Linked DNA regions of Yarrowia lipolytica. The protein of the gene in region 3 purifies or fractionates together with the protein of the main gene of each other region. This does not show direct contact. Links are inferred from orthologs where the notes say so. Each region holds a gene or a part of one and is shown on either strand. Other genes may lie near its edges.

The links.
Region 1: the proteins of YALI1_B13355g (region 3) and YALI1_C07979g purify together in Saccharomyces cerevisiae (affinity purification with mass spectrometry; 3 studies listed by BioGRID, with this or other methods). This does not show direct contact. The link is inferred for Yarrowia lipolytica from reciprocal best matches to the Saccharomyces cerevisiae genes MET30 and CDC34.
Region 2: the proteins of YALI1_B13355g (region 3) and YALI1_F16035g purify together in Saccharomyces cerevisiae (affinity purification with western blotting, with the first as the bait; 3 studies listed by BioGRID). This does not show direct contact. The link is inferred for Yarrowia lipolytica from reciprocal best matches to the Saccharomyces cerevisiae genes MET30 and CDC48.

Annotation. Positions count from the first base shown.
Region 1 is NC_090772.1:791,603-801,391, forward strand, and holds YALI1_C07979g (uncharacterized protein), read left to right. Parts: upstream 1-6,339; coding exon 6,340-6,426; intron 6,427-6,833; coding exon 6,834-6,917; intron 6,918-7,444; coding exon 7,445-7,978; downstream 7,979-9,789. Other genes in the region: YALI1_C07948g (uncharacterized protein), read right to left, coding at 2,115-3,290. UniProt on the Saccharomyces cerevisiae protein: Catalyzes the covalent attachment of ubiquitin to other proteins. Capable, in vitro, to ubiquitinate histone H2A. Mediates the initiation of DNA replication (transition of G1 to S phase in cell cycle).
Region 2 is NC_090775.1:1,598,175-1,608,880, reverse strand, and holds YALI1_F16035g (uncharacterized protein), read left to right. Parts: upstream 1-5,309; coding exon 5,310-7,763; downstream 7,764-10,706. Other genes in the region: YALI1_F16069g (uncharacterized protein), read right to left, coding at 142-1,959; YALI1_F16058g (uncharacterized protein), read right to left, coding at 2,438-2,593, 2,639-2,808, 2,867-3,017; YALI1_F16045g (uncharacterized protein), read right to left, coding at 3,303-4,340; YALI1_F16005g (uncharacterized protein), read left to right, coding at 8,367-8,864; YALI1_F15990g (uncharacterized protein), read left to right, coding at 9,802-10,706. UniProt on the Saccharomyces cerevisiae protein: ATP-dependent chaperone which probably uses the energy provided by ATP hydrolysis to generate mechanical force to unfold substrate proteins, disassemble protein complexes, and disaggregate protein aggregates.
Region 3 is NC_090771.1:1,330,456-1,340,907, forward strand, and holds YALI1_B13355g (uncharacterized protein), read left to right. Parts: upstream 1-5,118; coding exon 5,119-5,151; intron 5,152-5,349; coding exon 5,350-7,491; downstream 7,492-10,452. Other genes in the region: YALI1_B13290g (uncharacterized protein), read left to right, coding at 1-126; YALI1_B13328g (uncharacterized protein), read right to left, coding at 767-2,416; YALI1_B13401g (uncharacterized protein), read left to right, coding at 9,723-9,907, 9,976-10,207; YALI1_B13411g (uncharacterized protein), read right to left, coding at 10,444-10,452. UniProt on the Saccharomyces cerevisiae protein: Substrate-recognition component of the SCF(Met30) complex, an E3 ubiquitin ligase complex that mediates the ubiquitination and subsequent proteasomal degradation of target proteins. Negatively regulates sulfur amino acids biosynthesis genes expression.

The DNA.
Region 1 (9,789 bases), on a different chromosome or scaffold from region 3:
ATCCTGTGATCTCATCGCTATGGCACGTGTTACAAGCGTAGATGGTAGCTATAGAACGGATTATGCTAGAATAAAGGGCATTGGTTCAATCCAGCTGCTTCCAGACTTACCCATGTCACTATTTAATTACTCGGACCCACGAATCGACTTCCCACGCAACTTACAATACCGTTGGTACATATTGTACAGCTTTTACCCACCCAAATCAGATTAGACCTCACATCCACGGCACCGGTCTGGTCTCTTGTCGCTCCATCTACTGGATTCGTGCTTTAACTTGTCTCTTTTTTTACTCATTGTATGTTGTCTTTTTGTAGCCGTTGTAGCCGTCCGTGTCTCACATATCCTCACTCAATGACGAGTACAGCCACCAGGTACCGGGGAGGGGACGACTACATTTCACAGCCAACTGTCCACAGTAGATAATCAAAACTGATAGACTTCTGCTAGCGGCAGGCAACATCTCTGGTCTCAAACCGGCTCTTTGTACCCACCAAACAGGCACACTAGTACAAGTTAGACTCGAACTCTGGCCAGTGTGGCTGAAGTTAGACACACGTTTCACTTCCTAGTGAGTAGGAGGAGCGAGAGGACGGTGGGGTTTACATACCAGTATATACAAGTGGGTGCAAGTAATTGCCTGTAGGTCGCGCTGCTGGGGCCGACCTGATGGGGATGAACAAATGTGGTTCCAATATGTCATCGTAGTGGTCGTCGATCTTGTCTGAATGGTCGCTAGGCGGTGCCGACTTCCAGTACACACTCCAGCCATCATGAATCAATCTGATCTACACAAGTCTTGGTAACAGCTCAACTCAGGCCTCAGATTCATCTCCAACAAACACCCCTTCTATCACGTGACTCCCCATCTATCCACCTCCACCCTTCTGGAGTTGATCTTCCATGCAACCAGGTCTACCGATAAGGCGGCCAAAAAAAGTAAAACGAAAAATCGCAAAACGAAAAGCCCAAGACCAACAAGAGAAGATACTAACTCAACCTGCTCGCTTAAAGGCTACAAAATTGTGTACTTGTACATTACCCGTGTTATCAATTCCATCGCGGTTTTCTAGGCGAGCGTTGGTTGTCTGTGTGTGAACTGATTCATGGTAGGACGATCAACCGCTCTTTAACTACTGTTCAACTGCTGCACATGAACTACACTCAACTACTGATGTATCTCCATAAGTGGCAAGTATCGTTTCAGTTCTCACACAACTACCACCACTGTCACCACCACTCATAGCTATGCTCTTACCTTCCTGTACCGGACCGACGATTAGTCTCTCCTTATCACGAATTCAACTGCGCGACCAAGACATAATCAGACAAATGTGCACGAACTCAGTTGCTCTATCCAATCACCGTTTGCCCATTTCCAATCTTCCAGAGCCAAACCGCGAGCAACTATCCCTGATTAGGACTCAACAGGCTCTGGTTGAGACTCGAAGCATCTTAGATCGGTGCATACATGATGGGCTGTACAGTCGGACCATGATGTGGGGGTCAAAGTGGGTTTTGAAGATTACGTCGGTAGCCGGGCGATAGTGAAAGTAGATGTGAAAGACATGACTTTGCCTGCACACTTGGCTTGCTGTTCCCTTTCTCATATTGTAGACATGATCTCCATGGCTATCCTAGCTTGACCAAAGGCACCGGTAGTTGTCCCACCGGAGTATCAGTCGCCATCAGCTGCAACGCCTCATTAGCATCCCTATCCTCACCTACATCTAGCTTGAACTACAATGTAGTTACAATGATACTCGTAGTAGCTTCAAACTCATCCGCACAGCCCTCGTAGCAAACAACTATCAATAGACCCAGTTAATAGTAAGACAGGGGTATATCAGAACAGTCTCGCATCTTGTTGTCAAGGGCTCACGGATAGTAGCAGTCCATGATCTTTGCCAGTATGTACCTACGAATGCTCTATCGTACTTATAGCAGCTACTTGCACCAGTCGGTGAAAGGTTCGACATCTGATGTCCGATAAGACGATAAGAGCCTAAAGACACCTGTGGGAAGTAGCTCATGATTACTTGATCATGTGCATCTACTCTCGTCTACTTGTACTCGTGCTATTCACGGAACCAATCTTTTGTCTATCACCCTGTCTATCTAACAAGCAGGAAATAAATATAAATGAGCAATCTTGCGATCTTGTCTTTGATGAGCATGGTGATTCCCTGGGAAAAGAAGCCCTTGAGAATCTGGCCCTGACAGCCCTCCCATAGTCCAAGAACTCCCTCCTTCTTGATCGTATCCACCACCATCTGCGAGGCAGACTTGGCCTTGTTAGAGCCACTGTCAGACTTGACCTGAAGCCGGGTCTTGGCCAGGATGTAAGGATAGGTGATGAGACCGGCCAGAGACTTGGCCAGGGCCGAATAGAGGAACAATTCGCCTCCAGTAGGGTTGTCTCGTCGTTTATAAGGGATCAGATTGGCCTTGAGAGCCTGGAAAAAGTAGTAGGTCAACGAGGGGTTGATGGAAAGAACCACAGTGGCCTTGTAGCCTGTCCAGAAGCCAGTGATGCCCTTCTCCTTGTAGATATCCTTGGCGATCTGCACAGCAGAGGGTGTCTCGACGGTGGTGGGTGTGACAGGAGGGACCTCGGGGTTAACGCCGGTAATGACGTGACCGTACTTCTTTTCGGATGCGTGTGCAGCTGCCTCCGGGGTAGCTCTGTTGCTCTTCTGCACCAGAGCAGCAGTCTGCTGTCGGGTGACAATGTTACCGAGAGGAGAGGTGATGAATCTGCAGAAGATTCCGGCCAGTGATCCCACCAGCAATTCCTCGGCAATACCGAGGGTCTTGGGCAGACGGCCATTGGGCAGGCGTTTCATCTTGAGTCGGTTGTTTCGTAGGAAATCATAGGCGAAAAAGTAGAAGAAGGCGGACACCATGGTGGAGATGGTATCCTGAAACGCTCCGTCGTACAGTGCAAAGATGCCCTCGTTTTTGACAATCTTGGTGAACGCGTCCAGGAGAGACTTGTACTGATCATCTTCGTCCAGGTAGCCCTTTTGAACCTGCAGACGAGTGGTGACCAGATCAAGAGGGAAAACAGCCAAGTTGGCCACAGCTCCTCCAATAGCTCCGGAAAGAGCGGAGGCTCCGGCGCTCATGTCCGATGGCTCGAAATTGGCGGCTCGCTCGGCGGCGGAATCGGGTTTCGACATGTGGAAAGTGTGGTGTGTGTGGTGAGCAACGTTCCGATGATGATGGAGATAATGACGACATGTAGGGTTGCAATTAGAGTTCCATCTAAGGGATATGGAGTGAGGCATTAGCGAAAGGGTGAGGGGATAAAAAGGGGAGATGTCGGTATCAATGGAATCCCCAGGGTTGAGCGAGTTGAATGGTATGATTCTTGTTTCGGTCAGATATATATTGAGAGATATGTTGTGACATTGGTAAACTGCATGGATTAGCTATAGTTGCGAGTTTTGGTCCGATTTCGATTTTGAAAGAACCAACATGGAGCCTGGTCAATCTAGAATGGATCTGTCTCATAAAATCCACGGGATTTTTACTTTTCACCCTCATATTCGTCATCCCTCTCGCTCGTCGTCCTCCCAAACGTACTGCGAGAGATTACCAACTCTAAAAGAGCCTAAAAATTACGTGGTGCCGAAAGATTCTCCAGCTGTTAGTCTGTCCAGGGGCAACTGTCAGGTGGTGATGATGCTGTTTGGGAGCAGCTTTCGGTAAAGATATATAGACGCGATTTCGCTGCCATTTTCCTCTCCCAAAGAACCACTGTCCAACTACCCCGCTTTCAGGCACGCATCATGTCACAACCTCAAACCTCGGTTCGGCATGCAGCGTAGGCATAAGTCCGGGGAAGTTGTGTTTATAAAACAGACGCGGTGTGGGGAAGCACGGTAGGGTAACCGGAGAGTTGTGGATGGGCAACTGCAATAGACTGGTTTTTCTGGGTGATCTGACCCCTCCGCGTTGGCTACGGCTTCATACTGACGCCATATGATGTTGATCTTTGACCGACTTTAATATGTTTGCCGAGTCATGGAGCGAGCTGATGCAACTTTAACCAGAGTTGTTATTGGTACACATGTCTGGGGTATAAATGCAGCTTCATGGTTATAAAGGGTCCAAGTTATTGTTGCTGTGGAACGGAGCGACATTACGGTAGCGGTTTGTATGGACAGGGTCTGTTTTTATCGCAATAACGAGTGTGGTGTTCTTGGTCGTGGTAGGGAGGGTATAGCTCTGATAATGGTGGCATGAGCTGTATCGAGAAGACGTGAATGGGTCACCGGATCGGACCTAAAATGTTGACAAGTGATTTGGGCTCGGACTCGAGATGAGTGCGAGCTCGACCTATCCTATGGTTGTGTGTCTGTGAGATAACTGGTTTGAAGTTTCCAAACATCTCTGATTGTTCCGCAGTTTGAGGGGAGGCTCTTTCTGCTGGACCCTTTCAACTATTCCTTAAGTAAACTCAACGTCCAGGTTTCGCGTAAAACAACGATAGCGGCAGATTTTAATAGGAGAAGGTAGTATAACTTTTGCATTTTTGTTGTATTACGTTTATCAAGAACCTTTATATCTATTTTATTATCTTCCACAGCTTCTGGAACACTGTTTTTGAACCCCCAGCCGACCATTTTCCTTAACTAAATCTCAACTAATGAGAGAGTTTTCTCCTTTTTTTTCCATATTGGCAATGGCCTTATCCTGCAACCTGAACATCGGGTGTATTTGGTTACTGATTGATTATACCGTCATTTTCTCACGTTTACCGTAATTTACAACCCCATCATACGCCTGAAGGACGTCCAATCTCCCCAAATCCCATGTCCGGGCCTTAGCATCCACCTATTAGTGGTGTTACATGGGTGATACTAGTGCTGGAGCTTGGGACCCATGCAATTTTGGGGCTCCTGAAAGGTCTCAAATTGGTTCACTTTGGTCCTCCGACTGAACTACTTGTACGAGTCCAGCACTTGTAGTGTTTGTTGGCTCATTAGCAAGAACAGTTGCTATCGGCCTTGTAAGAACAGACGTCTACTGTACATTCTGTACTGGTAGAATGAGCCAGTGACACCATGTCAGCTGTCAGCCATCAACTGTGGTGAATGAAGAGCGACTGGGTTATACAGTAGATTATCCACGTCTCCCCATAGCAATGTAACATGATGTTAGCACCTCCCATCAGCTATGGTACAGGGCTATGTTGCAAAGCAGTTTAATTAGCTACAGTATTGGCGAACTTTTACGAATACTGTACCGGCCAGCAGCAACATCTGAAGTCGTCACTACTCGGCAATCTGCGACCTCGGAAAGAATTAAAAAATAAAAAAAGGGCTTATGTAAGCTGTAGCGTCATTTATCAGCCTATTTGGACCTCTTTCACGTCACTATTCTGGCTACGGTGCCAGTTTACGTCCTCTACTGGTCCGCGTACCTACTCGTATCATAGTTCTGGCCCTAACCCAAGCCACATGCAGTAATGTTGGTCTAAATAACTTTGGTGGTTGACTAAAAAAAGACAATCGCTTTGTCATATACAAGGTACAGTATAATGGAGAGCTTGTTCTTTGGGGCGGTACATACGATACTTGACGATACTTGACGATACTTGACGATACTTGACGATACTTGTAGCTACCTCCTGCTCCCCTAAAAAGGATGTTCTTTTGTTGTTTTTTTGTCGACATCGATGTGAAAAATCCGTCTTTACGACTCGCTTCCGCAGATAGATATATACTCCTCATATCCTCTCGATTCTCCCACTCGCACTCTTATCAGCGCATATACTTTCACAAGCAGTGCGAAAGGGCGAAAAGGAAATGCAAGCGGAAAACGGCAAGCGGAAAACAGCAAGCGGCAAGCAGCAAGCGGCAAGCAGCAAGCAGAAAGCGGTCACGTTGAATCAACCCCGTAAATTCATGGTCATGCTGACAGACTGGGTGGTGGAGATGGTGGGTGATACATGGCGTACGTAGACATTAGAGGCCGAGACGGGGGTGCAAATTGTGAGAGGAGAAGAAAGATCGTTAGGGAGGGCGGGCTGTTTATATGACCACAGTGGAGCAGCAACTGTAGCGCTCCGGCTCCCCTCCCCCGCCACTGTCTTGTATGGAGGAGGTGAGGTGCATCTGTCGCTCCTTGCCTTGTGCCACACCAGTCCCAACCCAACCCAACCCAACCCAAGATGCAGTCGACAAGAGAAAATTAGCCTTTAGGGCCTCCCACTCCTCAGCTGTGTCTTCTCATTTCTTCCAACTCTTCTCTCATCACACTTCAAATCACACCTCACAGAGAAAAAAACCAGGGCCAAAAAAAAAAAACACAAAAAAAAACCTCGACATCATGAGCTCCAGCAGTGCTAATCTTCTTATGAAATACTACCGGGAGCTGACCGATCCCAAGAAGGCCATCCCTAGTTTTCATATTACCGTGAGTAGTCAGACACCCAAAGTGACAGACCAGAGGTCTCGAACGAACCCAACCTGTTGGTGGTGACGCAGAAACGACAGCAGCGGTGAGGGTGAGCAGGCGGCGTGTTGGTGGTTGTGGGGAAGAGCGTTCGCTGTTAGCGCTTCTCCCTGCCCCAAACCTCGTCATCTACCTGTTCAAGAACCGCGCAGGTGCGTCAGAGTGGGTCACGGTGTGTCGCAGAGCACCACAGAGTGTTTTGTGGTATGAGTGTTCCTAGGGTGTGCAAGGGATTCAGATGACATGTTGAAACGGTTTCTAAGACGTGGGTTCCACGAGCTGTATCCGACACACCTGCCTTTCCCCACCCCCCTGACCACCACCTTACACAACCTGTGCCCCACAACCATACGCGCATACTAACATAGCTCGAGGATGACAATATTTATTCATGGAATGTGGCCGTCATGGTCCTCAACGAGGACTCAGTATACCACGGCGGATACTTTAGAGTGAGTACGCAGACACTGATGCTGATTTTGTGGCCCTGTTGGAGGGTTACATTTGATGTGACACACGACACGACAGGAGAACAGAGGGAGGCAGAAGGTAGGGCAACGGGATGCAGAGCCCTTGGTGGAAGTAAAGGTAGCACCGTCGGAGATACAGAACACCAAGTATCGTTCTCCGCTTGGCGGCCATTCACACCCCTAGCTGGTTTGGTGACCCCAAAGTTGGTTTGCTGTTGACCTTGTGGCGTGCCAGCTCGAAACCATACGTGCTATCGGGCATCCATCGGCCGAACCCCGCACGCGCCACAGTACTCACAATGTACAAGTTGCGGTGTTATTGAAGTGCTACTTATTATTTCCCGTCTTCTCTGTTTCCTTTTTTTTTTCCTGCCCCTCCGTCCATTTCACCGCACCACACCCACCAAGGTGTGGCCTGTATATTATTGAGTTTTCCCCGGCAACCGAGATCGGGAATCCGCAGGACAGGACGGAAACACACAGGTAAATACAAGACAAAACTAACACAGGCACAAATGACATTTCCCGCGGACTTTCCGTATGCGCCGCCAAAATTCAAATTCACCCCACCCATCTTCCATCCCAACGTGTACAGGGACGGCCGGCTCTGCATCTCGATTCTCCATCCCGGCGGTGACGTCATGAGCGGAGAGCCAGACCAGGAGTGCTGGTCGCCAGTGCAGTCGGTGGAGTCTGTGCTCATTAGCATAGTGTCGCTGCTGGAGGACCCCAATATTAACTCGCCAGCCAACCCCGACGCCAGCGTCATGTGGAAGAAGGACAAGGAGGAGTACCGAACCAAGGTGCTGCAGGACGTGAAGCTGAGCCGAGAACATATTCCCGAGGGCTTCGTTGTGCCATCCTCGTCCTCCGCCTACGTAGCTCCCAAGGCACCCGAGCACAAGGACGTTGTGGATGACAACTTTTGGTACGAGTCGGACGATGCCAGCATGCCTGACGACGAGTCCATCGATGAGAGCGAGGTGTACTCTGATGACGACGAGGATGACGACGATGATGACGACGACGAGGATGAGGAGTAGGCATACCAACTATTTGAACCTCACCGACCCCAGAGACTGACCGCTTAGAAACCGAACATAGTAATGCATAATGTGAAAGAGAGATAAGCGGTGTTTTGAAGTGCACAGCAGTAGAAGATCCTGTACGATAGATGTGTATGTCCAAGTACAGTGCGCAAGTATTGTACAGTATTTGTACGATTGTCAACTTGCTCCCGTAACTGATAAGTTGGCAGTTGTAGTTACACGGGCCTGCCATGGTAGTTTTTCGTAGCTCTTGCTATTTTTACGACACTACCTAAGGATTGATAGTGGTTCTGTCCAGTAGAGCTATCTACAGCTACAAGTAGCTCCGATCTAAGTTCTACTTGTGGTTGTATCCTAGCACTTATACTGTACATTTCTCATAGTAACCATGTCTATAATATTATCTGTCGTCTCGTTGAGAAAGAAAGAAGGGTGTCTTTCGGGTGGACGGAGCTGCATATGTGGGTATGGAGAGGGTGTCGCGGGCATTTGTATTTCAGTGTTTCGACTCCCGAACCTTTCTCTGATTATTGATGGCTCCAACACTCCATTATTTGTAGTCAACACGTATAACCCACATCTTGTATGAGCGATTTGTCCCCTGTTTGGCATTTGGGCCTCTGTTTATATGCAAGATTATGCATGCTCTTGCAGCGGGTAGAGAGTCCATCCATGGTTGTTAGCGACACAAGTTGTAGCGAGGAGCTATGTGGGTGAAAATTCACTTGGGGAGGCCAGATTTTGTTGTCTTTGTGTTTTATGACTGTATCGGCGCTGAAACGACGACAATTTGAGTACTTGCTGGCGCTTATCCACGGTTGTGTTGTCAGGGCAATGCTAATACATGTCACCATATGCACACCACACCCACCACTGGGCGCGCAGCTTGGGCCAAATTACGCCCTTTTGGACTCACATGCCTTGCGATTTTACGTGTTTTTGGAGCGGGTGTAATTTACAGCGCAGTCCGTGAGCCATGTGCCATGTGCCTTGTGCCATGTGTGCCATTGTGCCGTGTGCCGTATACATCATTTAGGTGTGCAACTGTCTTACCCATAATGAAGAGAATAACTTATCTTCTGCACGCATCGTGGTCGGTTTTAGCAGTTAGTAAAATTCGGTGATACAGCACAGAAGCACATTCGGGAGCGGAAGTTGCGATCCAGTAGAGATTGATTTGTTCACAGACGCCATTGCTAATCACGTGAGCGCCACTGTCAGCGCAGTATTCTTCATCAGCGCGCGGTCCTCGTCCTCGTCTAGGTCCTTGTTCTGTTCTTGTATCATACATTGCTCGATAGTGTAATACGTAATACAGTATATCGAGCCATACCACCAAGTATCGTACCACAACCAAACCATGTCCTCGTTCAAAGCAAAGACTGTTAATAATCGGGCACCCTCAGCGCCGTCCCTGACTTCTATCTCCGCTTTCCATGTGCTTCTCCGCCACCGCGATGGGTTTAGCTCCTCCTATTTGGCACGGTTACCCTACCATGAGCTTCGGCTTTCCCATCGGTTTTAAAGAAGGCTGGGGTGGAATCCGGCGTTAGAGTTGCCAGAGGTGGTCCAATTTGTAAGCGCCATACATGAGAGCAGCATCGGTGTGTGGGAGGAGTTTGGGGGTCGGAGATTGGCAAATGGGCGTTTGGCGGGGTTTCGGGCAGGTTTTTGGCCGTTTTCGCGCGTCCAGAGGGTTTTTGCGGGTGTATTGCGCCCCAATCCGTCTTTTTTCACCCTTTTATACCTGCCCAACAATGCTAGACCCCTCATTAAACACCACCTTTTAGTTTGCACTAAGGCGG
Region 2 (10,706 bases), on a different chromosome or scaffold from region 3:
CTAAGTACAGTATGTACGTCGGATTGGTGTCATGTGACGCAACAACTCATTTTGAAGTCACGTTACCAATTACAACCCCGATTCTTTTTATCACGTGACCAATCAGCCTCCATATCCAATACCATTTTCTCTATATACAATCTAGTTCTTTGGATGGCCCTTCTTTGCGATTCTGATACTCTCGTCTTCGTAGCCGGGAATCTGAATGTAGCTGATTCCGGCCTTTTCCAGCTTTGCCAACGAGGTGTTATCTTTGATGAAGTCGTCGGGTTCCAGAACGCCAACAAACACGGTCTTGATGCTCGAGTTGAGGATTCGGTCGACGCAGGGCAGGTTTCCGGAGAGTCGTTCGGAGCAGGGCTCCATGGTGGTGTAGATGACGGTGTTTTCCGGTACGTCTGACACGTTGTTTTTAGCAAAATACTTTTCCAGAGCGCATTGTTCCGCGTGGGTGTTCCCGGGCAGTTCTCTGGAGAATCCTGTTTCCAGCACTTGTCCGTCCTTGACTAGAACGGCTCCCACGCAGAAGGCGGAGGGGGTTCCTTCGGACTTGTCTGCCTCGGCCACCGCCAAGTCCATGAACTTTTTGTGGGGTTGCGACGCCCATTCTGGCAGTTTGGTGGAGTAGGACCACTTGGGGGCGTTGGGGTTGTCTTCATCTGGTTTGGAGGAGTAGGTGAAGGCATGAAGCCATAGAGACAGATCGTTGGGGCCCGGGTCGGTGTATAGGGGCGTTTTGCACGTTTCACAGGAGCCCGAAAGCACTTCTCCCAGGGGTTTGTTGGGGTCTGCTGGAAAGAACCACGATTCGGCGGTTTTGGTCTTGCCCACGTCGTCGATCATTTTCATCATCACGTCGTAGTTTTCAAGCCCACCTTTGCCCAGGGATTCGCCCCACATTGTCGGCGACGAGTAGAGCGGGTCGTTGGCGATGGGGTGGCCCAGAAACTGCAGATGGACGCGGATCTGGTGGGTTCGGCCGGTGTATGGTTTGCACAGCACGATGGACGTTTCTCCGTCGTAGGAAATGCGTTTGAAGACGGTTTTGGCTTCCCGTTCGGTGGCGCGGTCCATCAGAGCCCGGTGGTGGTCTCGGTCCACCTTTGTGGTGACGATGTTGAATCCGATTTTGGGGTCCAGAGTGCACAAGTTTTCGTCGACGGAGATTTCGCCGTCGGGGAACTTGCCCACCACCCGGGCCACGTATTGTTTTTGCACCTGGCGGTCTCGCAGCTGGGCGCCAAACTTGTCAGCGGACTTGGGGTTTTTGGCCATGAACATGAGGCCGGAGGTGAGTCGATCAAGCCGGTTGCAAGGATGAACATGGAGTCCGTTCACGTGCTTGAGGATGTTGACGGCGGTGTTGAACCTGTATCGTCCCGCCGGATGAACCGGCATCCCCGACGGCTTGTCAATCACCACCAAATCGTCATCCTCGTGCACAATGTCAATCTCCTGGTCGGTGACTGGCGGTTCGTGCTTGTGCGATCTGTGCTGGATGGCGTCGCCGTTTCGAACCACCGAGTCCACCTGGGCCACCTTGCCGTTGAGCAGCACCTGGCCGTTCTCAATCGCCCATCGGTAGTAGCTTTCGTCTCTGTCTCTGAATTCGTTGGCAAAAATGTCCAGCAGTTGGCGGTCTCTCCACCGCTGCTTGCAGTAGGTCAGATAGGTGTAGTAGTATGGTGAGACACGTCGCAGGCCGTCGCTCAGCTCGTACTGGGCCCCATCGGCCTGCTCGTCGCCGTTGATCTCCAGATTCTTCACCTTTTGGGCCCGCATTTTGAACCCGGCCTCGTCGCGCGACGCCTTGGCCTTTTTGGTCGGTCGGTTGGAGAGCATGGAGAAAACTATTCGCGAAAACTTTTGTCGGTCTCGCGGTCGTAGCAGTCGCCCAGATTCTATCGCTTCCAGTTGCACGGTTCGAAACGTCAGAATTTTCACCAGCTCGTGTAGCATGGAGAGTCTGGTGAACTGTGTTTTGCAGTGGGGAGAAAATTCCGAAAAAATAATGAAGAAAGGGGAAAAATTGGAAAAAAATCGGAGTAGATGGTAAAATTGCCGAAAGGTGTTGAATTGAAGCTTGTGAATCTAACTATTCAATCTGATTGCGACTGCCATCTCTCTAGCCTCTGATTGGTTCATTGTTGTGGGATGGATCAATCCAAGCTTTGGTCAACTAAATGCCAACTACGGATAGTTGGGATATAGAACAACCAGAACAACCAGAACAACCAGAACAACCAGAACAACACTAGTCCCGGGCTCAGTACGTACTTATAGACACTAGTTACACCATATAACTCAAGTCGTCGTAATACCAAAAGATATCTTTAGAAGCCCTTCCTGTTGAAGCCATTCCTCAACCATTCCCCAACCATACGAACTCAACTAGTTCCAACTAATTCCAACTAACCCTAACTAATCCTAACTAAAATTATGGCCTAGCGCTTAAAAAACCTGCCTTGTTTAATCGCAAGTTCGAAACCCAGCTGAGTCGTAGTTCCACCACCATGTAGAAACTCACGGGTGCGTAACCCCACTCAGTGAACTGTTCCAAAACAGTCACATGATCCTTCGTGTCAGTAGAACTCTTCCCAAGGAAAAGGTCACGTGAATCGCCGTTTTAAGCGGTGACATGTCTTACTGTTTGACTCAGTAGGGGAAGGGACTGGCTGCTGTTAAGACTGTTGTAAAGGCTGTAAAAACTGCAGTAGACATTGTTAGCAAACAATTTTTTTAATCTACTGATGAAGGAGGGGCTTCTGTTGGTTCCCTCTCCAGAGCTGTTCCTCTTCAAAGCTGTTCCTCTTCAGAGCTGCTCTTCAGAGTGCTTCTCCCTCTAATCCCTTGTAATCCTCAGCACTGCCTACGAATCTGGTCTGGGCCGAGCCGTTCCAGATCTCGTCGCTGGCACTTGCGGACAGTTCTCGTCGAAGCAATCGACTCAGTTGACGCAATAAACTGTCGATTCTCAAATCTGTCAAAGCATTTCCAAGACCTCCAAGTGGCCTCATCAAGTACCGCCCTGCCCTGATACACTCGCTGCCGTGCGTGCAGTTAATGTAATGATTAAATAAAATATTTTGTCAGCCGGTCGCTGAATCATAGTCCTGTAGTTATTGTAGTTGGGGTGGGGTGGGGTGGAGTAAACTGTGACAGCAGAGCAGATGAAATAGATGAAATAGACAGTGTTGTGTCTGGCGCAGGTTCGCGCTCGCTCAAGTTCACGCTGGTCAAGTTCACGTTGGTCAAGTTCACGCTGGCCAAGTTCACGTTGGTCACGTTCACACTCGCTCACACTACCTATACAACGCCCACGCAAACAACAAGAAACCCGCAATGGAAATCCAGCCCATTCTCGTGGTGAAACCCAACAGTCCCAGCGCAATAATGTAGTCCATGATCGACGTTCGGATATGCAAGAGTTCGGAAACGTGGGCAGCAGACAGAATATGAGGAGGAACATCGCCCTGCTCAACAGCGGTGGATTGGGTCAGTTTCACCGACGCCCACAAGTACACGGGCTTGTGGTCTGAAGACATGACGGCGGGGATCGAGTCGTATTTCCGGGGCACCACTGCTCCTCTATACAGCACTCGGTCGCACCAGGACGGAATTCGCTTGGTGTTGTATTCGGACGTTCCGGTGTGGAACTTGTAGGTTGGTTTGAATCCGATTTCGGCCTCCTGGAAGTCCCAGAAGGCATCGAGCGACCTCATGGCGTAAAACAGCTCGTCTACCACCTTGTAGTCAGCGAGTCCCTGCTCGTTTTCCGACGCTCGGTAGTTGAGATCACCCAAAAAGAATACCGTGGCGTCATCGTAGATGCCTGTGCGTGGGTCGAGGAACTTCATTTCCTTGGCAATGGTGGCGAAATCGTCGTTGCGCTGCTCCAAAAAGCCCTCATTGGCCGCCAGGTGCGCAGCCACACACACAACGGGATTGCCATCAACATTGAGTCGGAGACCCACGGCGCCCTTGAGCGACGACCAGAACATGCCGCACGCCACGTGGCACAACTTGACGTCGGTGACAAGCACATCTGCCGACGCTATTGCCACCAGACCCATGGCTCCAAACGTGTGTTGACCAACCACCACGTATCGTTCGAGCCACGGCTGGTCCCTGATCGCCTTGAGAACCTGCTGAATCAGATCATTGAGCGGATCCACCGCATATCCAAGACACCCATCGGGAATCGAACACAGCTCCTGATACCCAAACAACAAGACATGGGGCGCATCAATCCCTGCCAACTCGGCGGACAAATGCTGGTAGTACTGCGTGTCCTGGGTGAGCTTGCCACAGTTGAACGTGGACACAAAGAAAGAAGTCATGCGGCGAAAAAATCAGAAAATTGCCCGATTGAAATGGTCCGATCACTGGTGGGATGTAAATAAGTAGGATGGGCAATGTATGCATGGTGTACGCACAGGGAGCTACTTGTAGATCACGTGATAAGGTGGATTGGGCAAGCTGACAAGGAGTCGGAGAATTGGTCATGACCCTGGACCACCGTGACTAATCCGGACTCGGTTATATTCCTCCAAATCCACATGTTCCACGAGACCCCCGCCGCCCCCCACAGCTGACTAAGCTGATTAAGCAGCTCCATGGTGAGCTGTCATTTTGAACCCTAGTTGGCTTATCGGCTGCAACTATGACGACAGTACGAGAGGGAGGGGAGGAGGGCGGTCGAAAGGGTCTCCCAAGAGACATGGGCCTAGAGAGGCATGTTGCTGACTAATCGGAGGACGGAGAGCCCCCCAAACGCCACGACACCTTCCATCCCGTTCTTATAAGCTTATATAATCACCATTTCCCAGTACGCCCGGCCGTCTGGGCAGGATGAGATCTGTTGAGGCTGGGTGGACAAAGTTCACCACGGTAGATTAGGCAATTGCTCTGACGAAGGTACTGGAAGGTCTTGAGTAGAGGCCACGTTGTCGGGATGATTTGGGGGTTTTAGAGACGGAAAATTGCACAGAGCCAATCTATATAAGGCTGTGTGTCGCCATGTAATATTCTTTCTCATGGATCATTCCTCCACGGTCCAGTTACGTGGGTGTTTCCTACTCCCTTCCGTCTCTCACACTTGTCTACTTGTCTACCCCGAACCTTAACTGGTAGGTCCTGGCACTCGCACTTTTAACTGTGGCAAACGCACTTGTCTTAACTCTGCACTGTACACATCACCATGACTGACAATACCGAAGAATCGAAGCGATTGATCGACAATTCCGGTGCTGCCGAGAACGCCGACGACTCTCTGGCCACCGCCATTCTGCGAAAGAAAAAGAAGGACAATGGTGAGTATTTCGGGTGGCGCGGCAACGTGGGTTATGTGGTGGTCTGCCCGCAGAAACATGAGACCCCAGCAGAGAAAACCGCAAGCAAGCCAGCAAGCAATCAATCATACTAACATAGCTCTTGTCGTGGACGATGCCACCAACGATGACAACTCCATCATCTGCATGTCGCCAGCAACCATGGATCTGCTCCAGCTGTTCCGGGGCGACACAGTGCTGGTCAAGGGCAAGAAGCGAAAGGACACGGTGCTCATTGTGCTGGCCGACGAGGAACTCGAGGACGGCGTGTGCCGAATCAACCGATGCGTCCGAGGCAACCTGCGAGTCCGGCTCGGAGACGTGGTTTCGGTCCACCCCTGCCCCGACATCAAGTACGCCACCCGAATTTCGTGTCTGCCCATCTCCGACACCATTGAGGGTCTGACCGGCTCGCTGTTCGACGTCTTCCTCAAGCCCTACTTTGTCGAGGCTTACCGACCCGTGCGAAAGGGCGATCTGTTCACCGTGCGAGGAGGTATGCGACAAGTCGAGTTCAAGGTTGTCGACGTCGACCCCCCGGAGTACGCCATTGTCGCCCAGGATACCGTCATCCACTGCGAGGGCGATCCCATTGAGCGAGAGGACGAGGAGGGCAACCTCAACGAGGTCGGCTACGACGATATTGGAGGCGTGCGAAAGCAGATGGCCCAGATCCGAGAGCTAGTCGAGCTGCCTCTGCGGCACCCCCAGCTGTTCAAGTCTATTGGTATCAAGCCCCCCAAGGGTATTCTCATGTACGGTCCCCCCGGTACTGGTAAGACCCTGATGGCTCGAGCCGTGGCCAACGAGACCGGAGCCTTCTTCTTCCTGATCAACGGTCCCGAGATCATGTCCAAGATGGCCGGTGAGTCCGAGTCCAACCTGCGAAAGGCCTTCGAGGAGGCCGAGAAGAACTCTCCTGCCATCATCTTCATTGATGAGATTGATTCTATCGCCCCCAAGCGAGACAAGACCAACGGTGAGGTTGAGCGACGAGTGGTTTCCCAGCTGCTGACTCTCATGGACGGAATGAAGGCCCGAGCCAACATTGTCGTCATTGCCGCCACCAACCGGCCCAACTCCATCGACCCTGCTCTGCGTCGATTCGGCCGATTCGACCGAGAGGTCGACATTGGTATTCCCGACCCCACCGGTCGACTTGAGATTCTGCGAATCCACACCAAGAACATGAAGCTTGGCGACGACGTTGATCTCGAGACCATTGCCGCCGAGACTCACGGTTACGTCGGTTCCGATATTGCCTCTCTGTGTTCCGAGGCAGCCATGCAGCAGATCCGAGAGAAGATGGATCTGATTGATCTGGAAGAGGAGACCATTGACGCCGAGGTGCTCGACTCCCTTGGAGTCACCATGGAGAACTTCCGATTCGCACTCGGCAACTCGAACCCCTCTGCTCTCCGAGAGACCGTTGTTCAGTCCGTCAACGTCACCTGGGAGGACATTGGAGGTCTCGACGGCATCAAGCAGGAGCTCAAGGAGACCGTCGAGTACCCCGTTCTGCACCCCGAGATGTACACCAAGTTTGGCCTGTCTCCCTCCAAGGGTGTGTTGTTCTATGGTCCCCCCGGTACCGGTAAGACTCTGCTTGCCAAGGCCGTTGCCACCGAGGTGTCTGCAAACTTCATCTCCGTCAAGGGTCCCGAGCTGCTGTCCATGTGGTTCGGAGAGTCAGAGTCCAACATCCGAGACATTTTCGACAAGGCCCGAGCTGCCGCTCCTTGTGTTGTCTTCCTCGATGAGTTGGATTCCATTGCCAAGGCCCGAGGTGGCTCTGTTGGCGATGCCGGTGGAGCTTCCGACCGAGTTGTCAACCAGCTGCTGACCGAGATGGACGGTATGAACGCCAAGAAGAACGTGTTCGTCATTGGAGCTACCAACCGGCCCGACCAGATTGATCCTGCTCTGCTGCGACCCGGCCGACTGGACCAGCTCATCTATGTGCCTCTGCCCGACGAGGCCGGCCGACTGTCCATTCTCAAGGCGCAGCTGCGAAAGACCCCTCTCGAGCCCGGTCTGTCTCTGCAGGAGCTTGCCAAGTCTACCCATGGCTTCACTGGTGCCGATCTGTCGTACATTGTGCAGCGATCTGCCAAGTTTGCCATCAAGGACTCCATTGAGGCTGCCATCACCGCCCAGCGGGAGGCTGAGGCTGCCGGCAACGAGGACGTGGAGATGGAAGACCCTGTTCCTTACATCACCCGGGCCCACTTTGAGGAGGCCATGAAGACCGCCAAGCGATCTGTCAGCGACAGTGAGCTGCGTCGATACGAGGCCTATGCCCAGCAGATCCAGTCGTCGCGAGGAAACATTGGTTTCCGGTTCAGCGAGGACGCTGCTGGTGAGGCTGCCGCCGCCGACGCTGGTGCCGGCACTGCTTTTGGTGCTGACCAGGAGGATGACCTGTACAACTAGACGTATGAGTTTGAGCATATAGCAATGACATGATAATATTAGGATGTATATATAATAGGATGTAGTGGTTGTACTTGTACCTAGATTTTTTTTTTTTCTGCATATACATTCATTTAATTATAACTTTGCTGTGAAAGAATAACCTTTGAAATGAATGTACGCTTACACGAATATTACTAATTAAACACGTTTAGAGTATTGGTGGTTGCAACCAAAGCCAAGTAATGCACTTGGGAGTTTACACTTATTGTGAGACAATTACTTAGCTTCAGTATAGTACATGCAGTATTGTACTCGTACTGTACTTGTTCCTCAATAGGACCTTTTTTTCCATTTTTGTTCATGTGACTTTTTTGTCGCCGTTATTATCTTCTTATGGTCAGTTTCGCGATTACGTAAGCCGTTTATGCCACGTTTCAGTGGCGATTTGACCCCAGATTTAGCGGCCGATTTAGCCATTTGCCACCTGATTGAATTTTCGGTGGAGCTGCACGTGAATATGATAAGGTTTGGGGATCACAACATTTGATCTGAGCTGGACAACCGATATAAAAACAAAAAAACAAGACAAAACAAGACATTTCCTGTTACACACACACAACCATGGTCAATGTTCTTTCGATTGCTAGCCGGTTGGCTATGATGACCTTGTCGTACGTGGTTGGGGCGATTCAGCCGCCGCTACAGTCGATTTTCTCCACGCATCCCGATCTGATGGGCATTCTTCTGGTGCTTGTCATTTTCTACGTGTCTTTGCTGGTGTTGAAGCAGAGTCTGCGGTCGTTCTGGGGGCTGATCACGACGTTTGTGCGGATGTTTGTGTTGTTGGCGGTGGTTGGAGGTGCTGGGTGGGTCTATGTGCGAGGGGTGGGTGGCACGATTGACGACATTCAGGCGCTGAGGGCTGGCAAGATGGACCAGTTTATGGACGGCGACTACCAGACGTACAAGCAGGGGTTTGATTACTCGCGCAAGTTGTACGAGGAGGCTGCGAAGATGAAGGGTTCGGGCGGCGGTCAGTATGACTGGAAGGAGATGATGGACCGGGTGGACACTGCCGAGGTTGCTCAGTTGTGGGAGCGGTTCACCCGGGGTTTTTGAGCAGAGTTGGAGAAATGAAGGCGGTGGAGTAGTTGAGGGTAGCAATCAATGAGTGAGTTGAGCAGACTGAATGTGAGGGAGGAAGTCTTTTGCTCTGTGCGAGTTTTGGAGTCTTGAGTGAGTTGAGGAAAGGTGGTCATGTCTGACTGTGACGGAAGTCACTGACTCTGTGCGAGTCCTGGAGTCTTGGATTGTTGGAGTGTTGAGTCTTCGTGTTCTTTGTATGTCCAAATGACCATTTGTACTGGGCTCTACGAGACGACATGGAATGACCTCAACTACATGCCTCAACTACATGCCTCAACTACATGCCTCAACTACATCGACTCGACTTCTCTTCACCTAGCTAAAAATAAATGTCATGTTTCAACGGCCACGGCTGACCACCTAGCCCCTTTACACCTCGTCGGCTGGCCTCGTATTTCTGTAGAAAGTCCGTAGATCGCGGTCTCGTGTGCATCCGGAGTTAACGCGGCTCGATCGCTATTTCCGGTTATCCAGCGTTTCGGATTTAACAGTACAATACTGGAACACTGTACTCATATTCATGCTCATGCTCACGCTCATGCTCACGCTCGTAGTCTGGTGGCCACAAGACCCCGTAAAAACAGATTGAGAGCAAGTATCGGAAATCTGAAAAGTGCAAATGGACTGTGTGCGACGCTTAGTCATGATTGCGCCGTCAAACCTGCCCCGGCCGCGTCCCAGCTCCTCCAGCGGCCGTGGTTGGTGCGCCCTCCTCCCCCAAATCCCTCAGCCTTATGACCACCCGTTAGAGTCTAAGCCTAAGTCTATTTTGGCTGGTGTTTTGGGAGAAAAGAAAAGCAGAGAAATATAAGCAAGGCAGGGGCACCACCAACCTCACACTCACCCACTCACCCTTTCACACTTGCGCGGTGACATTGACAAAGACACAGACACAGACAGAGACACAAAGATGAAGGTGGCAGACACAGCCTACTACGACCTGCTGGAGGTGCAGGTGGACGCCTCGGACGCGGAAATCAAAAAGGCGTACCGAAAAATGGCGATTCGACACCATCCCGACAAGAACCCCGACGACCCGACCGCCAACGAGCGATTTCAGGCGATTGGCGAGGCGTACCAGGTGCTGTCGGACAAGGACCTACGACAGCAGTACAACGAGCACGGCAAGGACTACGCGGTGCCGGCCGAGGGCTTTGCGGACCCGGCCGAGTTCTTCACGATGATTTTCGGAGGCCAGCTGTTCAACGACTGGATTGGCGAGCTGTCTCTGCTCAAGGACATACAGAAGAGCATGGAGATGCAGGAGGAGGCCGAGACCGAGGAGGGAGCCGAGGGAGCCGGTGCTGGTGCTGGTGCTGGTGCTGGAGGCGCGGCTGCTGGAGGCGCGGCTGCAGGGGCTTCTGCAAGTCCCGGCGGAGTCAACCACTCCACTGCGTCGCTGACAGAGCATGCTCACGAGGACAAGACCGGCCCCGTCCATCCTCCCGGATCTGCGGCGGAGGCGCTGGCTCGAGAAAAGGAGCTGCGAAAGAAGAGACGGGCCCAGACCGAGGCTGCTCGGGCCAAGCGGCTCGAGTTCGAAAAGGAGCGTCAGGAGGCCCGAAAGGAGCGAATCAAGATGCTTGAGAAGAAGCTCATTGAGCGAATGTCCGTGTGGACCGAGACCGACAAGACCGACGACCTCACCCGGTCTTTCCAGGAGAAGATCCGTCTGGAGGCCAACGAGCTCAAGATGGAGTCCTTTGGCGTGGAGCTCGTACACGCCATTGGCCAGGTCTACCTGACCAAGGGATCCATGTACCTCAAGTCGCAGAAGCTGTTTGGATTCATCCCCGGCTTCTTTGGCAAGCTCAG
Region 3 (10,452 bases):
ACATTTCGCGTTGTGGATCGAACATGGGATTATGCTGCTCGAGGAGACGGCAAATACAACTCCAGCTACCATAATGGTGTTCTGCAACTTCATTTCCGGTTCAAGAAGGACTTCTATAAAAAGTAATTGTATTTATTGGCTTATACTGGAGTAATGAGAGTGTAGAATAAAAAAAAAAAGAAACATTTAAAAGTTCTAAAAGACAAAAAAGTAGGGCCCAACCGGGAATTGAACCCGGGACCTCTCGCAAATTGCCTAGGACACCCTAAGCGAGAATTATACCACTAAACCATCGGGCCACCGATATTTAGCATATTAGAGAGCGATCTCATTAGTTAGCGTCGTCGGATTACGTCATCTGTAATGAATCATTAGAATAAAAAATAAACTGATGATTCAGAAGTGTATGATTTATTGAACCCCAATAACCCGGCTTACAAAAAACATCTAGAGAATTGATGGAAGGACTACCTGTTGTCCTTCCATCAACAAAAAGGTTCTAATTGAGCTTACCATTTCACTACTTGTAGGACACTCACGCAAACAGTATGTAGTGTTTCAAATTGTAGCTACAATATGTAGGAGTATTCCAAGAGCTGCATAGTACTGTACTCTTCCGGGTTGGTCATTTTCACCGATGGCTTGTGATACAGTTCTTGTACAGCGCTCAATTCATACACACGTCGATTAATTACTGAATGGATAAATAGGGTCTTGACTAGACTGTGATGTCTTTACAAGAAGATGTCGACAGGGCCTAGACTCGTTAGTTGCGACTAAAGAACCGCTTCCACCGTCTCTGTGAGTACGTACTTCCCGCAGAAGTGCCTGTATCGGAGTATCCGACGGCCAGGCCCATGGAGGAAGTGGAAGCATGTGGAGAAGAAGGAACGGTAGAGGGAGTGAAGGAGAGACATACCTTTGAATCATTTTCGAGCGGGGAGAAAATCTCAGACCAGTCTGAAGAGTCTGAGGAAGCAGACTTTAAAAAGGCAATGCCCACATTATCGTCGTAGTCTACATCTCTCGTCAGATTGAGTTGGGGAGGTCTCATTTTGCGAAGCGACACCTTGGGGGATGGTTCGCATTCAGGGTCATTAAAACACTCCAGCAATTCGTCGGAGTCTCTGGGCGACTTTGGAGGTGTTGAAGTGATGACGAACGTTGGACTTCCGGTTGTGGTTGTAGCAGAACTTGCGGAGCTCGAATCTTGGTCTGTTCCGTTGCTATTGGTATCGTCAGACTCCTGGGTCAGGTACCCAGTAATAGTTCGGTCAGACAGCTTGGCGTTGAATATCGGGAAGGCCTGCGCTTCTTCCTCATCACTGTCGGACTGCTCTATGAATCTGGACACGTTTTGGGCCACTGTTTCCGAGAAATCAAACGAGATATTCTTTCTATGAGAAAGCAGGGAGCTGGATCTCGCCGAATACACCGACTTGGGTGGTGATAGAGACACACTTGATGGTTCCTGGAGACCTACAGAAGCTGGATTGCGCTGAAACTGTCGGTGGGAGATGTTGGAGATGATCTGGGTCGATTTAGCGGACTTGGGAGATCCGTTCACGGACTCTGCAAGAGACTCTGGAGGGGAATTGGGGAGGGGTACGGCTCTAGAGAGCTGCTCAGACCTCAACCACGACTCAATTGTCTTTGTCAGCGTCTCGTCAATCTGGGGAACGCTCATATTGAGGTACCGCGAGGTTTGAGAGGTGACATTGAGAGCCACAAAGTTTTTGTATATCAGAAGCCCATGAGCAGCTTCTGGGAGGGATAGCGACGTGAAGACAGACAAAATGGTGGCAAGTCCATCGCTGAGGAGCGAAAAGAGGACAGACAAGTCACGTGACAAGACGGGATACAGCACTTGTGGACAGGGTGCGATCTTGAGAATCGTGTTGGTCATGTCCAGTAAAGTGGACAACATCTCAACGTATTTAGGCGGCAGGGCGTCTGGTGACTTTTTATTCATGAGAGTATCGAGCGTGATGCTCTTATTGTCGAGTTTTTGCCTCAGAAAATCGGTTCCAAACCTCTCCTGGAGACTCAGACGCATTCGAAGGTATGCAAAGTACGGCACAAACAGCTGGGCTGTGGTTTTATCGGAGATTGCTAGCGGTTTGTCTTCATTCTTGGGATCCAGGGGCGTATGATCGAGCATTCCAGTCTTTCTCTGAATGTCCACCTGCTTGATGAAGTTGATGGGTCCGTCATTGAAGAGCATGTGAAGGATGATGAAGCATCTGGCGTAATTGGCGGTGGTAAAGGTCAAAACCACCCCTCGAGTGCACATGTCTCGAATGAAGTACGCATTGTCGGGTCTGGAGGAGACTAACGTTTGCAGCTGCTTGTAGTCATCCTGGGGTATTGGGTCCAGGAGCTTGCCTCGGGCCACTCTTCGTATCAGTCTGCCCATGGTGCGCTGTTCTTTCTTTCTTTCTTTTTTGCAAAACGGCGGGCGATGCAAGCGAGAAACCCACGTCTATATGACTTGTACGCGTCTACAGGCGGGGAGCACGTCCCAAACCAGAGAGGAGTCTGTCGCCCATAATAGTTCGGTTTAGGTGCAAACCTCCGCGCCGTTAGATCTGAGACCGCATGAAGGACGCGGCTGCCACCAAGGGTAATTAATAGGGGTAGAGATGAGAGACAAGCACGCTTTTGTCGCGAATGCCGCTTGTTCGGCAGGGGAGTTTTGGGTCTGACAAATCTCCCTCCTTTTTCCAGGAGTTTTTGCTTTGATTTTCTCTCCAATTGGGGACCCGGTCACCCGATCCACCAGAGCGTCAAACCGGCCCAGCCAATAGTATTGCAATCAAACTGAAATTATCATGTCCACTGCACTGAGACAAGCGGCAGGGTTTGACACGCCGCTACTGTGCTACTTGTACGATACACGGGCGACCTGGGGTCGATAATATGACCGCCAATGGGGTAATGCACCGAACTAGAGTAGCCATGCATGTTTCTTCGTTTCAGCCTGGGAACAGGAGCTGCGTTTAGTGGTAATAATAGTTGACATTTCTGGTCGAGAGAATGAAAGGCACCCACCCAAACATGAGCTGACACTCGCCAGCCCGAGCCTCGCTGCTGTAATATCCCTTTATTTTGCATGCCGGTGTACATACTGTACGAGTACATGCAAACCCCTGAACGCTGAATGTCGTTTCTTCGCCATGGAGTCTCCCCTATTATTTTCGACTGAACGCTGCTGAAACTCATCTTGCTGTAACACCACCGTGTGTTTTGAGGGTTTCACCCATGTCGATCAGACAGCCAAAGCGTGTGGAAACAGGTTAGACGGAGCGAAGCAGCCAGCCGTTCCAAAACCCACGTCTTGCACGCCCTGGCATGCAATTTCTGTCACCTGTCAACGTGTCTGGAAGCAGGGCCCCTCTTTTACATGCTCCCGAGACTCCACGTGCAGTTGAGAATGTACAAGTGAAACGGTGAAACGGTGAAGAGGTCCTTGATGATGAGTAAGCGGTGCGATGATGAGCGTCTGCTCAATTTGAAGACTGACTGGCCAACTCACTTCCTAGATGGACTATATAAACATTGTCTTGTACGACGTGGTATGCTCATACTGTACTCGTACTCGTACTCGTACTATGTTTTTAGTATTATGGCCTACTTGTAGTCTTGACAGTGGCGCTAATCTCAGGTCATTAATCAAACTGGAAGTTGAGGACGAGACGTCCAATTTCGACATAAACAACTGGCAGTGGTGGGCTGAAGACCGTTCTTTCGATTTCTGTTTCAATCAGGACTCAATGGGGTTACCCGATTTGTTTCGTATTATTTCGTATTCCGTGCACTTGGTGGCATCATGCATTGGTGACGGGACCTGACCTGAAATATGCAGCTATAAATAGGCATAAACAAGGGCTCCAGTTAAACGACTGATTTCGAAATGTTGAAAATAATGCAGTATTTGCGCGACCGAATTTGAGCACTTTTATGTAACAAAGAGACTGGCGCGAGTAATTGGAAAAATAATGCATTAATTGAAATATTGGAGAAATTTGGTAACATTTGGAATATTACAAATTGCTTGTGAATATAAAGTTTAAGCGAAATATTGGAGAACATAGGAAGCATTTGGATATTACCTGTGTTTGGGAATATAGTGTATTAATCGCAATAATCGAGAAAACTCAAGAATAACACGATCAAACACACTACAGAAACAAAACCTGTCCACCAAAAAAAAAAACTACCCAAGACTCCATGAAGAAAACGATGACATGACACTTACTTGTACTAAAGACACCTCATAGACCCTTCTAGAACTCCCGGTACGTTTTTAGTGCGCATTGTCAAGTGCACAGTAGCTTATGTACCTACTGTAGATACTGTACAGTCAGCTGTAGTCATGGATGCAAAGACATGAGTAAGAAGGAATTATACCCGGTTTGCCACGTTCAAATACGACACTACACAGGCGTATAGCGGACGGTCTAGCTTGCACCTCACCTCACTTGTTAATCAAGCCACTTGTAAACCCCTCACACTAGTCTGTTGAAGTCTCAGCTCTCTCTCCACAGTGTAGCGCTGAGTAATAGTGTTGTGCGAGTGAGACTGATGTTCATCATTGCGCAGACAAGTGTCACCGAGGCCGTCAAAAGGACTGGAAAGATGGAGGTGGAATCATGTGTTCAGATAGTTTTTCACACTTGATTCGTGTATTGTTTGTTCATATCAGATTCCGTGAAGTTATAGTATGGACTGTACGTACGCAGATGCCTCGTACTGGTTAACAGCCCACTATATCAAACCGCGATAATCCCCATCCGAACCAAAGTTCGCTATCGGGGCCTATCTCACAGGAGAGCAACGGTGGCGCGGAATCGCTGCCCGATAGAGTGTATCCATTGAGTATTCGTCATCTCGACCACTATTGCGAACTGTGGCGTTTTCAACGGCGCTGGTTAGGGTTTGGGGGAGGCTATTCAAAGTGGTTGGGTCATGTGACCTGGGTGGGCGGAGATAGTGGAGGTGTCTTGTTCGAGGGCAACCGGGCAGGCGGTGGCGGAGGGGATATCTGGGACACAAACAGACGACCTTTCTAACGAGTTCTGGTACTAATTTCCCCAAATTATTGCTCTCAAAGCCCTCATGATTCCTCCTACTCATTCCTCTTTACCACCCGCTTGCCCCGAATCGCCCTGATTAGACGCAAAGCCAAACCTTGGAGGTCAAGTGGTGTACTAATCGCACACACTCACAGCACACCACAGTGTTCCACCGACCCTCTTGAGCACCCTCCGAGACGATATTTCTTTTTGTGTTCCCAGTTCCGAGTGGCGACAAGTGACACAAACAGAAACCACAGACTACATAAGTGAGGCTACCCACCCAACAAGCAGTCTCCCCTCACTCGTCCTTCCACCGTCTCATTCAGCACAGGACAAACACAAACACAAACGCTCCAAGCCACAGACCGATCCGATGAAGAGCGAAGCGCGTGGAGAGCCACACCCCAACGGCAGTGGCGACGGCGCTGACACGGCCAGTGTCGCACCCACAAAAACATCACAGCCCCCCTCCGCACACCCTTCGTCGATCCTGACACAGTACATGAAGAACTTCCAGGGAAACCTGTCTCCCGACATGAAGGACATGCGACGATACTGCTACCGGCACCATCCGGACCTCAGTTGCTCCCGCGAGTCCGACGAAGAGTGCATGGCCCAGATCCAACGGTCTATGGACGAGCTGCCCGTCAAGGACAGAGAGGGCATCAGCCACTGCTGGAGCATTTTCTCAGCGTCCAACCCTCGCCAGCGCTCGCTCATTCTGCAGGGCATTCTCACACAATGCTGTTTCCCCCAGCTGTCGCAGGTAAGCTCGATTCTCAAGGACCTCATTCGAATCGACTTCATCTCGGCGCTCCCCACAGAGGTGGCCTTCAAAATTCTGTGCTACCTCGACACGGCATCTCTTTGTCGAGCCGCGCAGGTCAGCAAGCGATGGAAAATGCTCGCAGACGACGACGTGGTCTGGTACCGTATGTGTGAGCAACACATTGACAAAAAATGCACAAAGTGCGGCTGGGGCCTGCCGCTGCTGGACAAGAAGCGCCTGCAGCAGAGCAAACGGTCCATTGAACTGCGGGCCAAGAACTTCAACCCCAAGGTCGACACCCAAGGACAAAAGGTGGAGGACAAGGAAGACCAAACCCCACAAGAAAAGGTGGAGGACCTGACAGGGGAAAAGCCATCTTCCTCGTCAGACGTCCAATGCGGACACAAGCGAAAGAGAGAAGACGACAATGTGGCCATGGCTGCACCCAAAACATCCAAGACGCGACCCTGGAAGGAGGTCTATGGAGAACGATACATGGTGGAGCGCAACTGGCGTACCGGCAAGTACTCGGTACGTAAATTTTCCGGCCACAAGCTCGCCATCATGTGCCTGCAGTTCAACCACCAATTCCTCATTACTGGTTCCTACGACACCACTGTCAAGGTGTGGTGTGTTGAGACTGGTCGGCTGATCCGAACCCTCGAGGGTCATCGTCTGGGAGTCCGGGCTCTCATGTTCGACGACACCAAACTCATCACGGGATCTCTGGACCACACTATTCGAATCTGGAACTACCGAACAGGTCAGTGTGTGTGTACCTTCCGAGGTCACGAGAACAAGGTTCTTGCGGTTGATTTCAACGATTCATTGATTGTCTCTGGTTCCGCAGACAAGACCGTCAAGGTGTGGAACTTTGAAACCAAGAGCTGCTTCACTCTGCGGGGCCACACTGACTACGTCAACGACGTTAAAATCCACAGCGCGTCGGGCCTGCTTTTTTCGGCCTCTGACGACAACACTGTTCGAGTGTGGGACTTGGAGACCAAGCGGTGTCTGCGGGTGTTTGGTCACCAGAACACCGGTGGACACGTGCACCACATTCAGTCCGTCATTCCGTTGACTCTCGACCATCTGGAGGACGTTGATCATTTGGATGCCGATGAGAGTGCCATTGATGACGCTGATGCCAGTGTTGTTGATGAGGCCGACAATGGTCACGAAAGTGCAATTGACGACTCTACCGATGGTCCTGATCTTGCTATTGCTGATGGAGAGATTGCTGTCCAGCGAAACTCCTTCTCCGTTGGCCAAGTGTCTCAATGCGACATTTTCCCTGAGCCCAAGACTCCCCTGGCTCGAAAGCACTACCCCACACACATGTTGACGGGATCCCTCGACAACACCATCAAGCTATGGGACATCAAGACCGGCAAGTGCGTTCGCACTCTGTTTGGTCATGCTGAGGGAGTGTGGTCGATTGCTGCAGATCATTTCCGAGTGATTTCGGCGTCGCACGACAAGACTGTCAAAGTCTGGGAGCTGCATTCTGGTAGGTACATGCACACGTTTGGTGGCTACCGCGAGGCTGTCACCTGTGTGGCCATGAGCGACTGCAAGTTTGTCATGGGCTGCGAGGACGGTGTTGCCCGTCTGTACAATTTTGACATGCCTTCCAGAGCGTAAAAAAATGAGAGGAGAGCGAGACAGAGATCGAGAGAGAGGTCGAGCAGGGATCGAGACAGAGATCGAGACAGAGATCGAGACAGAGATTGAGAACAGAGAAACGACGATGACTTATTTATTAATACCCCCATAGAGATAATTGAAAAAAAAAACTTGATTGAAGTGCACCAATAGTGACGTGACATGCCTGTGTAGGAATCATGAACTGAGAAACGCCAGGGCAAGCGGTGGGTCCTACTATGGCTTTGTCTCTTGCCTCTTTCAATTGCAACTTCAACACTTCCATAGCTTCTGTGACGGTGGACAGTGGACGAGGGTGTAGACTTGATTTGTATGGCTGTGTTGCCATGGACGTAGAAACAGTGACGGCGAAAGGTGTGTTGGATAATTACTCTACAGACACGAGTGATATATAAGTATCTGGTGCCTGTACAAATGCTATAGGATGGCGTGGCTTTCATTGCGTGAATCTATTGTATCATCGATATGGAAGTTCAAGACTGCCTATCTTCAAAGAATATGTAGCAAGCGTATCTGAAAATACTGACATGTATAACAGTGGCTGAATAGTGGTAGTTCAGAGTATCCGCCAACTGAATAGCGACTTAGATATAGCTCTAGATCTTACTGGCGATGACTTTTGAGGTCCTGGTTTGTTCAGAAGGATAAGAACAAAAAGGGAGAGATACAAGTGAGGAAGGAAGTGGCAAGAGAGATGGGATTGGCAAAAGAGGGAGTTGCTAGAAGCCCTTTACAATAAGGCTTCATATGTAGGTCTGTATACAACAACTCTGGACTTCACACCGGGTTGGCGACGAAGCACTACGAGATTATGGTGAACGGAAAGCTACAAGACGCTTACTGTTCAAGAAGCTGATTCTTTGATTTTTGGATCATGAGACTCAGAGCTCGGGTGAAGAGAACTCACACTCTGCTCCGTCCAGTTGCGGGCCCATATCCTGGTGAAAATACGGCTTCCCGTCCGATCAGCCATTAGTCAAGCACCAGAGAGCCCAGTTAGTATTGTAGTGGGAGACCATACGAGAATCCTGGGTGCTGCAATTGTCATTGCTTCTACGGATATTTTTTTTTCTTTCTTTACAGTCCCGTATGTTCTTTTCATGTTTTGTCTCCAACCTTCGTCCTAGTCATCATGAGATGTAGAACCACAATGAGCTTATTGTGAGAAAGAGGGGGTATTGGGGAGTTGATTAGGTGGTTGTATCGGTCACTGAGGTCCCATTTTTCTACTATCCAGGATTTTATTGACCCTGCTTTGTTATGTCAACTCGTATTTCTCAGTGCAGAGTTGCTGTGTGTGTTTATAGACAGATGAGCTTTGTGTGAGAATGGGGGGTTGATTATTGTACTAGATAGTTTCCAAAAACGTCATTGTAGACGTTCCAAAAGCCTGAGACCACAAGAGGGTCCCCAAATCCTTTCATACCGTTCTCCTGTTCAACAGCAACCGCAATCATAGATGTCCAAGTATCAGAGCTATAGCAAAAGTCAGATACTCGCGCAGAAGATACTAGTGACGTAATTGCGGCGCTTCAGAAGCGCAAGTACACTACCTAGTTTAGAAAGAAGATATCTCTCCGAGCCGCTGATCTCAAACACAAACTTCTCATCTCTGGCGTTACTGAACGACAGGGCTTCTTCGGAGTAAACAGGATCGTATCCAGCCCACCAGCTGGGCATGGGTCGTTCAAAGAGGAAACTGAGGAATTTGCTTCCCTTTTCCAAAAACGATTGCCTCCGAATAGCTCCGATAATATGAGGTTAGTGCTCATCAGAATCATACAAGCGGTTGTATGAGTAACGGGTCACCTACAATCTCAACTGTCCCCTTACCTGTCCATGGACACATGATTCCGACAGCCACAGCGCCTAACGATACGTGATAGAGCGTGATGATGGGCACCTTTATTAGCCTGCCACTATCTACAGGTGCTCGTACTACAGTCCGATCTCGAATGGGGTACAAAGGTTGCTACAAGAATGTGGAGCGTAGTGGTAGACAGTTGGAGATTGAGTATGATTACATAAGCACATAGAAAGGCACGGAATTTATCAATCTCCGTGTCTCGTGTCGCATGACTGTTCCTATGACCGGCGCACAAGCCTCCTCACATGGAAGATCGTCCAGGGGTGTCAGACCTTAAAAAAACGCGTCCGAAAATTCAAATGAATTAATGACAGGGATTGATGCATAGAACGAGGAGGGGTAAATGTGCAAAGTTCTCGGAATACGGTCTGACAGCAGGTGTGGATTTCTTGTGGATTTATGTGATTTTCTCTCGTTCTGTAATCCTTTATTTTGTGCTGTTTGGCTAGCTTCCTTGCGTCATTTAACCGATGGAATGGCGTGTGCGGTTTGTACTGCTATAGAAAAATATAGAAGCGGCCGTTTTCGGTAAAGGAGGTTAAGAAACGAGCCTCACCTTGACGTTGGGTTCAACAGAGGTGAAACCTGTGTTTAAGACCATCAGACTTTGTCGGCTTAGTGTCATATTTCGCATTTTTTTCAGTTGGCATTTTTTCGCCATGTCCACGATTTTCCGGCATAATTTTGTTTCCGCAGGCCCTGAGTCATCGCCAAGCCCAAGTGATATTCATGTCCTGTGATGTGGTAGCAACCTATAGCAAAGTAAAACGGCAATTAGCAAAAGAAAAGACTGCGGGCTCGTATTCAATACATTCCTGTCGAGTGTAACTTTGGTGCGTGAAAAAAATGGACGCAATACCGCACCTGGGATGACAGAACAATGTCTCGTCAGTGTCGTTTCCACCTGCATGACAATCTACAATAGACAGATTTCAGGTAGCTCCGATTTCCCTATAATACACTAGCGAGGCACGCGGTTGGGATTTATTTTTGTGGCAGCCATGGACCCAACAGCTCATCAGACTACAAGTACGTTTCAAACCCGCTTTCGGCCGCCACTGACGTCACGCAAA